Schizosaccharomyces pombe: one gene and its partner. The protein of the gene in region 1 purifies or fractionates together with the protein of each later gene. This does not show direct contact. Each region holds a gene or a part of one and is shown on either strand. Other genes may lie near its edges. The genes, in order: bch1 and cfr1.

Region 1 (5,112 bases):
AATTGTTAACTTATTGTTTACGAAATTTTGTTTTGAGATGCCAGGTTGACATGGCAACCATAAATGCTGGTTAAGAAAAATAAACAAACGTGAACACTATAGAAAAGAATTGAATTTCTAATCAAATGTTAGACAATGACAACTACACCATTGGGAAAGATGATCCAGGATGGTGACTTTGTATTCCAAAAAGCGAAGAAGGGCACTACGGTATGTAGCCGGGATGTATTTTCAAATACGTTGATGGGTTGTAGGAAATTCTTTGTTGTACTAATTGCTATGTAGATACCCAAGGCAAGGAAAAAGACATTAACAAAAGATTTACAAGTACAAGTGGCGAAAGAGCTGGAGCAAGAATCATCGTCAACTTTCCGATTTGCTTACGTCTTCCCTAGAAAAGCCCAAAATCACTATTATTCACCGAGTCGGACACATACAAGTAGCATAAAAAAGAAGAGGCCTAAATTGTGTTCTAATATAAACCTGACACCTTGGTCATTGATTGATTCGACATCTAATAAATCTATTAGAGAACAATCTCGAGAAATGGGGATTATAAGCATACAAAAGTGGGCTGAACAAGCAAGGATGCGCTCACTCTGCTTTCCAAAAAATTAACAAAGTCTGTACAATTACTTAAGAGCTCTTGATAGGAATATCATATATGATTTAAAAATGGTAAAAAAATTTTATTCATGACCAGAATATTTATATGCGTGTTAGATAATATATATAAATTCATTTAATCTCGATGAAAACACGAAAACGGGAAACAACATCACATGTTTTGACTAAAGAACGAAAACCAGAACGAAGGAAACGTGGAATAAAGAAAGCAAAGAATGTCGCTTGAAAACTCACTAGACGAAAGCTTTAATGAGTCTAAACTTACAATTCATGGCCAGGAATTTGAAAGGCGATAGCCCATTCAAAATACAGCTTATGTATAAGATTAAGGATATACGGATCAAGTCTAGTAGAAGCAAGGATACTCTTCATCTTCAAAGCGCCATCTTGCATAATGCGATTTTTCATTTGCTCCAGAAGAAAGGGGGAATACTAAGATTATGTTAGCGTTTTATAGTTATGGAATCTAAAAAAGAAAAAAACTCACCTCTTGATACCATCGGTAGTTATAAAGTGTTAATTTAGCGATAGCGGTCAAAACGAGCTCAATATTATTGTCTTCTGAATAAATTATCAAAAGAGTTTTCCAGGCCTTAAAAGAAAACATACTTTCCAAGCAAGCGCAGAATGCTTCAACAGCCTCAACACGATGATGCAACCGAAAAGCAACCTCACCTAGTATTTCCCATTCTGCAGGAGCTTTTCTGTAAGCTAGACCTTGAGATTTAAAGTGAGTATATTCAGCGCGCCAAATCGTAAATACACGTAAATCCTCATATAAAACCATAAAAAGATTATCTAGCCAGCGCTCACAGAGACGTTTACTCTGAACAGTGGCATTTTTTGGAAGAGAACCAACAGATGTTTCTGGTTTGTCTAAACCAACAACTTCTTCTGCAACGCTTTCTTCTGCAACTTCGTTTTGATCGGGAGAAGCGTTTCCTTCTGTAATATCATTTAAGGATCTATATTCTTCTTCCATCACAAAGACAGCTGAACGAACCCGCAATAGTTCATCCCAACCTATTTTGGCACATATAAGGGTGAGCATTTCATATGCCTTCGCAAATGTACCACGAAGACTGGGAGATGGTAGGCGAGCTAAGTAAGGATCGGTAATTTCGGTAGAAACTGTATAACCGTTCTGCGCATTATTTTCAACTTCCAGTTCTTCTTTAGGAAAATTGACAGGAAATGGTAAATGAGCACGAGCACTAGGAGGCAAAGGATAAGCATCTCTTTCATAGTAAGTATACATGGGACAGGAGTTTAGAGCTAACAACGCTGATTTAAAATCCTCCAAATGCAAGTATACATCAGCCAAACATGCCCAAGTTGCAAATTCTGATGGAGAAGCATGAACGGCGCGCTTAGCACAGATAAGTGCAAGGTCATAGCGCTCTTTTGAAATCAGAAACTTAACTTGAACAATAAGCAAACTAGCGGACATTCTTTGTTTTAGCAATGAATCATGCAAGATACGAACAGCATGCACTTCATGGTCCATTAGTAAGTATAGTTCAGCAAGCAAAACCGATACCTCTGGAATTGACACCCGGAGCTTTTCAAAAAGATTTAGAGCAGCACTGTAGCGGCAGGTTTGCTTCAAGTAAGCGAAAATTCCACGAACCAAATGATTATTTACATGCGTAGGTACCCGAACTTCAGAAGAAGACCCTAGAGTATAACCTAACGTAAAAAGCTGTTCGGCAGCCTCAAAAAATCTTAATTCTGCATCAGGATTTGGAATGGGGTTAAAACGACGATGTCCTGCAAAGCGAGAATTTGTATCATCAGAATAAAGTAACGAACGAAGGACTTCAGACATATATGCTTCTGTCCACATACGAGCATCGACAATATGCTTTTGCCCATTCTCATCAATAGCATATGTGTCAACACCTCCAGGAATTTTAGCTTCCACACGAACATCAACTTGAGAGAAGACATTGTAGCAACAGTAAACTCCGTGACTAACACGCCAAGCGTTTCCCTTCCCAAACCATTGTTGACTTTTATCAAGAGAATAGGAAAGCGTATTTAAATATGCCGCTAGTGAAGCTGAGGAAGAAGCATCAACTCCAGATACAAAGTGATAAGTTCCAACCTTTGACGAGGTTAATAATACGTAAAACGTTAACGTTTCAATAGGAGTGAAAAGTTTGGTAAAGAGAGACTTGTCTTGATCCTTTCCCCACTAATCTCCAACATCATTAACACTACAGCTTTCGCTGCTTTAAAAAGTGACATACCTCTTTTGATGGATTTTTTGCATTAACTTTTATAGTATTGACCTGATCAGGAGGCCCGAGTTCTTTAAATTGTGCGATGGATTTAGAACGCGCATCTAATGACTCGTTTACACGAGTTTCTAAAAACCTATCGTCATTGTTTAGAACTTCAGCTCAATTATATTTAAGGAACTTACTCTGGTATATCCTTAAAGAATGAATCACTCATATATCATAAATTGGAATTAATATGCAAAGCAGCGTTCAATTCGGCCTCGTGGCTGGTTCCAGTTAAGAGGTTATGGTGTAGCCGCAGCCTGACTTGCTGTAACGAAGTGTAGCAAGCGACAATTAGGCAATCGTCCACAATTTCCTTATATATAAAGAATAAATAAATATCATTAAATTATGCATTTAGTGTATTTGAAAACCAAAAAATAATTGAATATTATACATTTTGATTTGTATCTTCATTCATCCTGACAATTGATGATTTAGGGAAGTCAAAAGTAGTACCCAACGAATAGTGTAGCGATAATTTTTTCTTAAGATTACAACTCATTGATTAATACAATTGAAATAAAAATTTCTTGTTGGTGCGGAATCCAACGCAATTAGTATTAAAAAAAAGAACAGCTTTATGTTAGTTTCCACTAAAAGTTAGACCAGTCATACGCACAATGTTAGCTTTAAAAAACTCGCACAATACGCTGGTAAGCATATGATAAATTAATACAATACTTCCAAGCAATTGCGAATGTAAGTTGCTGTGAATTTTTTTCCGAATTTCGAAATCTTTAACGAACCTTTAATGAAACGTCTAAAAGTAGAATCAGGAGTTATTGATTTTTGCATTATATATCTCCTTGACAAGAAATTTTTTGTTTCATCTAGCCATACATTTTGATAGATGTCTCTTGCAATGAACCATTGTTTGTTTAAAATATCCTAAAACCAAATAACATGTGCGAATACGTTATTTAATAGTGCAAAATTCTACAAAGAAAGAATCGAAATTTATGCTTAAGCCATTCATGTTAACGCTCATCAAGAAAGCTAATTTGACTAAATACAATCAATGGAGAGTGCTAGTATACATTGCTTGTTTTAACTGACATTTTTAAATTAACTACGATAAGTGTTAAGATTAAACAAAGTGAGAAACGTAACAGTGCTTAAGTTCAGTTTTCTTGCGAATGTATTGAATTACTTTCACTTGCCCAGCTAGTAAACAATTAAGGCTTTGGTACCGCTTTGTCCTTCTAATAAATTATGGTTAGTAGCGAAAATAACCAGCCTTTTGACTGATGAGAGGTATATATTCATTTGTCAATTCAAATTAATACGGCCTTTTGAATATTTATTTACTGAATAGTGTTGATTAATAAAAAGGCAATCTGTATAGCGATGAATCGTTAGCATCACCAAAGTCATTTTAATCAAACTGCGCTATATTTTACTAAGAAAAGCACGTTACCAATGTTAGATTAACGAATGTACATATTGAACTCAATAAATGTGTCCGACCCTTACCGAACGGGGTTTCAAGAGAGTGTCATGGATTTTAAGTTACCGTTCCCCCATCTCTGTACGATTTAGCAATTCATTGAGAAAATGGCTTTTGCTTGGAAGAAAAACTTTAGGTATGGATTCATTTCTTGAATGTGAACATTAAATATACCCTGATAGTTTTACTAATGAATGAATATTTGTAGTTATAGCAAATATGCTTCTATTTGTTCCCAAACTGTTCGTCAAGCCTTAAAACCGGAAATTAAAAACGAGGTTAAAACTCATGGTGATGCAGAGTTCCTTTATACTCGATGGAAAAATGGCGCTCAGGAAAAAACGGAGTCTTACAATTCGGCAAAGTCTGCTGATAAGGAATGAAAATAAAGGCTACAAACGAATTTTTTGTCCTTCATTACCCATTGGTAATATTTCAGCTTCATTTGATGTTTCACTCATTTCAACAGATATCACTGATGGTTTACAATCTCTTATAATGATTACTATATTCGACTTAACGTTGAATTACTAACTGATCCTTTCAATAAATTTTTATTACTTTTTTTAATGATGAAGTTTAATAGAACAAGGTAGTTTGCTCTGTTTTCTTAAAACTGTTGAGAATGGCACTTCAAATCATTGTGGTTGCTCTGTATTTTCGATCAAATCTATAATCGGCCTTTGTCTCAAAACCAAAAATTGTTGATTTTACTATAATGAGATGTAGCTAATTTAGAAGTAAGTG
Region 2 (4,978 bases), on another chromosome or scaffold:
CGTCAATAGAGGATGTCCAAGCTAATATCAAATAGGTGTGGATTTCTTTGTGTAAAAGAAGTCGATTCCTATTCTTTTTTTTAATCTTTTTTGATTTCAAATTTACACTTTTAATAGGTTGTTGGCTTTAATGTCTATCCTCTTATTATTATATGTGGTGTGTTCATATTTTATGCACCTCTTCTTCTACAAACGACGCGTTTTAAAAAAAAATCCTTTCACCCATCCTAAATGATACTGATTTAAACAAAATGCATTTATTAACTACGACGCTTATTTCTTTTGAACAAAACAAAGTAGAATATTTAACCCAAATCGCGATTTATACTCAAACACCTGTATGCACTGATTCAAACTGTGAGCATGCTAGATTTTTAAAACACAGCCTTATTCAAGTTTCAATTGAAAGGATAGAATATTTATACTCGATATTTCCGAATATATGGCAATTCGCTTTGCTTTGCCAAGGTCAAAATAAAGAATCATTGATACATATGGAAGAAGACGCCAGCACGAATTTCAAACTACGATATTGTAAGTTCTGTCTATCAGTATAATGAAACATAATTTCAAAACCTCCCATTACCCATTTTTGACCTAGTTGATTTAATTTAAAAAAAAAAATTTATTAGAGAACGAAAAAAAAATCCGAAGCTATATATTTACTAATGCTAAATGAGTTTAGATGTACTTCCATGGTCTAGAAGACTGCAAGGATACCAGAGCATTACAGTTCAAAATGGTTCCCATGTGCCTTTAGTCAAACGATTGGAAAAGTGGAGGATATTCGTAGAATGTTAACATATAAACATAAGAAAAAAAAAAGACTGCAGAATACAAGAGATCAATGTCATTAATCAATGTTTACACTTTCAAACTCGTCAGAAGATTGTATAATTTCTGCTTCTTTGTTGGGTATTAGATTGTCATCAGCCGTAGGTTCCGAACTTTGCTTAACTGTAGTAATATTTAGATCTTCTTCTTTATCGAGCGCATTCAGTTGCAAGTTAGTAGTATGCGCTTTTTCTGGCTCTAAGACTTCAGAAACTTGAGGGATTTCCTCAATTGCACCGTTAGTACCAATATCTTCAGCTGCTGCGGGAGATGGCTTATCATCGTCTGAATTTTCCTTAGTATCTAAAGGGGCTTCGATTATTTTCTCATCTGTCAAGCCATTCGCATTTTCAGAATTAGCATTGTTTTTTTCAACCTCTTCGTTAGTTGCAGGTCCTTCTTGATTCAATAAAGATTTAACAGCGTTCTCTTCAATTATTTCGTTAGGTTCAGCTTCTTCCTCATTCGCTGAGGATTCAACAGTACTCTTTGTAACTGCTTCACCGGAGGTAGTTTCTTCTTGATTGATTAAAGATTCAGCGGCTGTATTATTTTCTTCTTTTTCATCTTCAAGTCCTTCAGTCTCCGGGGTATTGTTTTCTTCGTTCACGTTAATCTGCTCAACGGCTGGCAAAGAAGATGGTTTTTCTTGATGATTGTTAGCTTCAACTTCGGAAGTTTGCTGGGCAGCAGGTGTACTTTCCAGATTCGAATGTTCCTCAGCATCCTTTATTTGCATATCCTCTTCGGGATTTTCCTGCTTTGTAGAATTTTCTGGCTGATCCGCTTTGATGTTTTCCGAAGAAGTTGGAGCTTCATTGGGCTTACTAGAATCACTTCGTAAACCAATGTCGCTGGAAACATCGATTGATTGCTCAGCCTCAGTTTCAGGCGCTTCAGCCGGAACAGAAGCTGAACTAGATGGCTCAGCATTTGCACTATTTTGAGTTCCCTGTTGGGTTGTTTGCTGTGGAGCTTTAGCTGATGCAGCACCTTGAGCAACTTCAGCGGTATTCTTCGGTTGTTCGGTTGTAGCATTGAGATTTGGTGCAGCATTTTGCGCAGCTTCTACAGAATTAATAGAAGCGTTAGCATTGTAAGAAGCGCGATTTTCGATGTAAAAACCACTAACGTTCACCAAACGTCCTTCAGATTCGCATTTCAACAAATAATCCAAACCTAAAATAGGGATATTGGCAGCTTTTGCCTTTTCGTACTCAGGACCCCCAGTAGAAGAGCAGATAAAATGAGTTGTATCGATACGAACGCTAGTTTGAATTGGTCTAGCGTGAATGCGTTCAATACACTTTTGTAAAGCCTCCATCTCATTGGGAACCATGTTGCCAACACACACTTGAATTCCTGTGAGATCTATCATTCTTAACGTTTTGATGGTAATGTGTTTGCTGGGAAATGTTCCCGCAGTCGTATCCAAAACAAGGGAAAAATCGTATTCTGTATCGAGAGATAAGCCACTCAGCTTGGCATTGTGAGTAGTCATGGGATTAGATATGTTAAGCACTCGAACATTATTACGGTACAAGCAAAGGCTTTTGAGTCTCGCAGTGGAGAGTTGTAAAGGATCCCATTCCAATACAATGCTAGTCTGAGTAGCATTCTTTAACTTAAGAACAGGAGGAGACGGCAATTTTTGGCCATATGTTTCAAAAATTTCTTTTTGAACATCATCGAATGCAGTTTCTCTTGCTATCTCTTCCTCTTTATTGTGATGCACAGAGATATCGATTATAGAGCCTGCAGTCGCGTCATTCGGCAGCAACACGGATGGAAATTCTATAATATGAAATGAAGGTGTCAATAAGATGGCCATTCCCGCATCTATTTTGGCCACAGACACCATAAATTGATTTGTATCATCCATTTTAGATGCTATTATTGATAATCCCCTTTGGTTGTGGTGGAGTGTTTACCTTAACCAGCACTCTTACACTTCTAACTATAGGTAGCACTTGTTACCTAAGGAACCGTAGTAAAAATGTAGGTTATAATCATCTTTGTTTTGATAAATATCAAGAGTTGTTGTGATTCCCTGGTTTTTCACAATCTATTTACATATCAAACTTATATATTTTTTAAATTTTCTGGTTAGTATCATTATAAGCGTAATTCTAGTAAGGAAGACAATTACAATTTATTAAAATTATATACAAATATTTGAAGATATATTTAATTCAATCACTCAGTAAAAGTGAACGATTTAATATATGTAGTTTATTATTATATTTCAACGAGAATTCATACAAACAATATTACAAAAAAATCTGTTGATTTTTTCAATCATCTAAATTATTAAAATATTGGGCTATTATTATCTATTCTTCAGACTAAAGCATTTTAAGGGGAGCAAATATACTACTTTCTGATACAATTAAATTCTAAATTACGTTAAGTTACATTGATAGTAAACAAAAACAAATGCAGTACTGTTGAACCCAGTTGATGAATATATCTTAATTCGTAAACCGTGCTGCATTCAAAATTTAAAATACTACACGAATGAAGGATTAGACCACAATATCTGTTGAGCAAAATAGAAGTCGAAAAATAATACAATTGTTAATCTGGATATAAAACCACGTGTGAGCAAACTTAAAAAATATTTCCTAATTATCAGGTTTACACATTTCACTCTATAAAATTAATTAAGAATAGTGGTTTTTTAATACACCTATCAGTGCAATAATCAGTATAAAAAGAAGCTAGCTTCTAAAGGAAAAATATGAAAATAAGATAACAAATTTGCTCCCGTACTAAGTACTTTTGAAGAATTAGAAAAAAGCCGTAGACAAATGGAATATCGAGGCTAATCTGTATACATTAAAACATTATCCATCTTTATGCTATAGGGTTATCCATATAAAGAGCGGAATAGAAAAGAAATACCGAGAAGGAAACAAAAATTCTATTTACCATCTTAAGTACGGAAAGTAATGATAATTTTGTATCCATAAAGATTTCCTTTGTCAAGCAAGCAAGGCCCATGATATGTATGGTGAGGTGTAGAAAGAAGAAAAGAGGAAAAAGCAATACAGGCCAAAACCAAATTGCTCAACAAAAAACCAACCTGGTATTCACTATCATTGACCCGTCAGTCATCAAGTATGTATATGCAAGAAAAATAAAAACGAATAAAGGATCTTGAGAAAAAATGCGTTATCTCTTTGCAAAAAAAGTGGCCCTGTCTACATCAGAAGCTTTTTTCTTAAAATTCGATTTATAGGTTGTTGTGTCAGGCAAGAGAGAAAGAAAGAGAGAAGGAAGAAAAAAACCAGAGACAAAAATACGCTTGAAAAAAAAGTATTCAAACAGCAAATATTTTGACTCGGCATGCGACTAAGCTACATGATACATCTTCTTACTTGCCATGAAATTTTGTTGCGATAGGAACAATAATGACAACAAGTAAAATGATGATACCAATGATAATGCAAAGACGCATACGCATGTCCTTCCACCACATCTTCTTGCGAACACGATTGGCGCCACGACGGAAGCCTTGCGCGCTAACAGCAAGGTTATCTTAAAGAAGTTAGCTAAACGTTCAAAAAAAAAATTTAACTGTTAACAAAAATAAATATCATACCTGTTTTATCTTGTAAAGAATCAAGGCGTTCTCCACGTTCTGAAACCTTAGAAATGTTTTCACGCATAATCCCCACAGTATCGTCAATCTGCTGCTGAATTGCAGCTGTCTTCATATTCGGCGTCGACGAAGCAGCAGCATTTCCACTACGAACAGCTGCAGAAGGCTCCGCCGGGATATATGGGTCATATGGCTCAGACATGGTCGTATGTGTTAGTTGGTGGAGGATTTATTTTTGCGCTCGGTTGGAGTTGATGTGTACCAATTCGTTAATCCTCTTTCCATTGCGTTAAACATCTGGCTTTGTAATGTTGGGTTGCAAAGCAGTTTTGTGATTATACTTATATAAATTAAAGAAAAAAAATAAAATAAAGTAATAAAATTACTTCTTGCCTTTTTACAATAAGAAACATGTAACTAGCTGTACCCTCATAGTAAATAACGTAAACAAATCCTTAGTATTGGTGAATTTGGGAGGAACCAACTACGCCCTTTGGAATAGAGATTTGGAAACACGTCTTGTTTCTTGGCGATTTGAGC

Evidence for each region.
Region 2: the proteins of bch1 (region 1) and cfr1 purify together in Schizosaccharomyces pombe (affinity purification with western blotting, with the first as the bait; one study listed by BioGRID). This does not show direct contact.

Annotation. Positions count from the first base shown.
Region 1 is NC_003423.3:3,783,823-3,788,934, reverse strand, and holds bch1 (ChAPs family protein), read right to left. Parts: upstream 3,148-5,112; 5' UTR 3,088-3,147; coding exon 3,056-3,087; exon of another isoform or gene 3,007-3,055; coding exon 2,880-3,006; exon of another isoform or gene 2,857-2,879; intron 2,735-2,856; coding exon 1,115-2,734; exon of another isoform or gene 1,060-1,114; coding exon 889-1,059; 3' UTR 622-888; downstream 1-621. Other genes in the region: SPOM_SPBC31F10.17C (uncharacterized protein), read left to right, coding at 160-210, 286-618; F0-ATPase epsilon subunit Atp15, read left to right, coding at 4,473-4,501, 4,574-4,748.
Region 2 is NC_003424.3:3,267,973-3,272,950, reverse strand, and holds cfr1 (CHS5-like protein Cfr1), read right to left. Parts: upstream 2,755-4,978; 5' UTR 2,717-2,754; coding exon 854-2,716; 3' UTR 802-853; coding exon of another isoform or gene 686-801; 3' UTR 584-685; downstream 1-583. Other genes in the region: bouquet formation protein Bqt1, read left to right, coding at 252-534, 686-801; syb1 (synaptobrevin family receptor), read right to left, coding at 4,211-4,374, 4,439-4,640. UniProt on the Schizosaccharomyces pombe protein: Required for cell fusion, independently of fus1. Appears to have a role in transporting proteins that are involved in mating. May act as a scaffold to retain cell fusion proteins in the cisternae of the Golgi.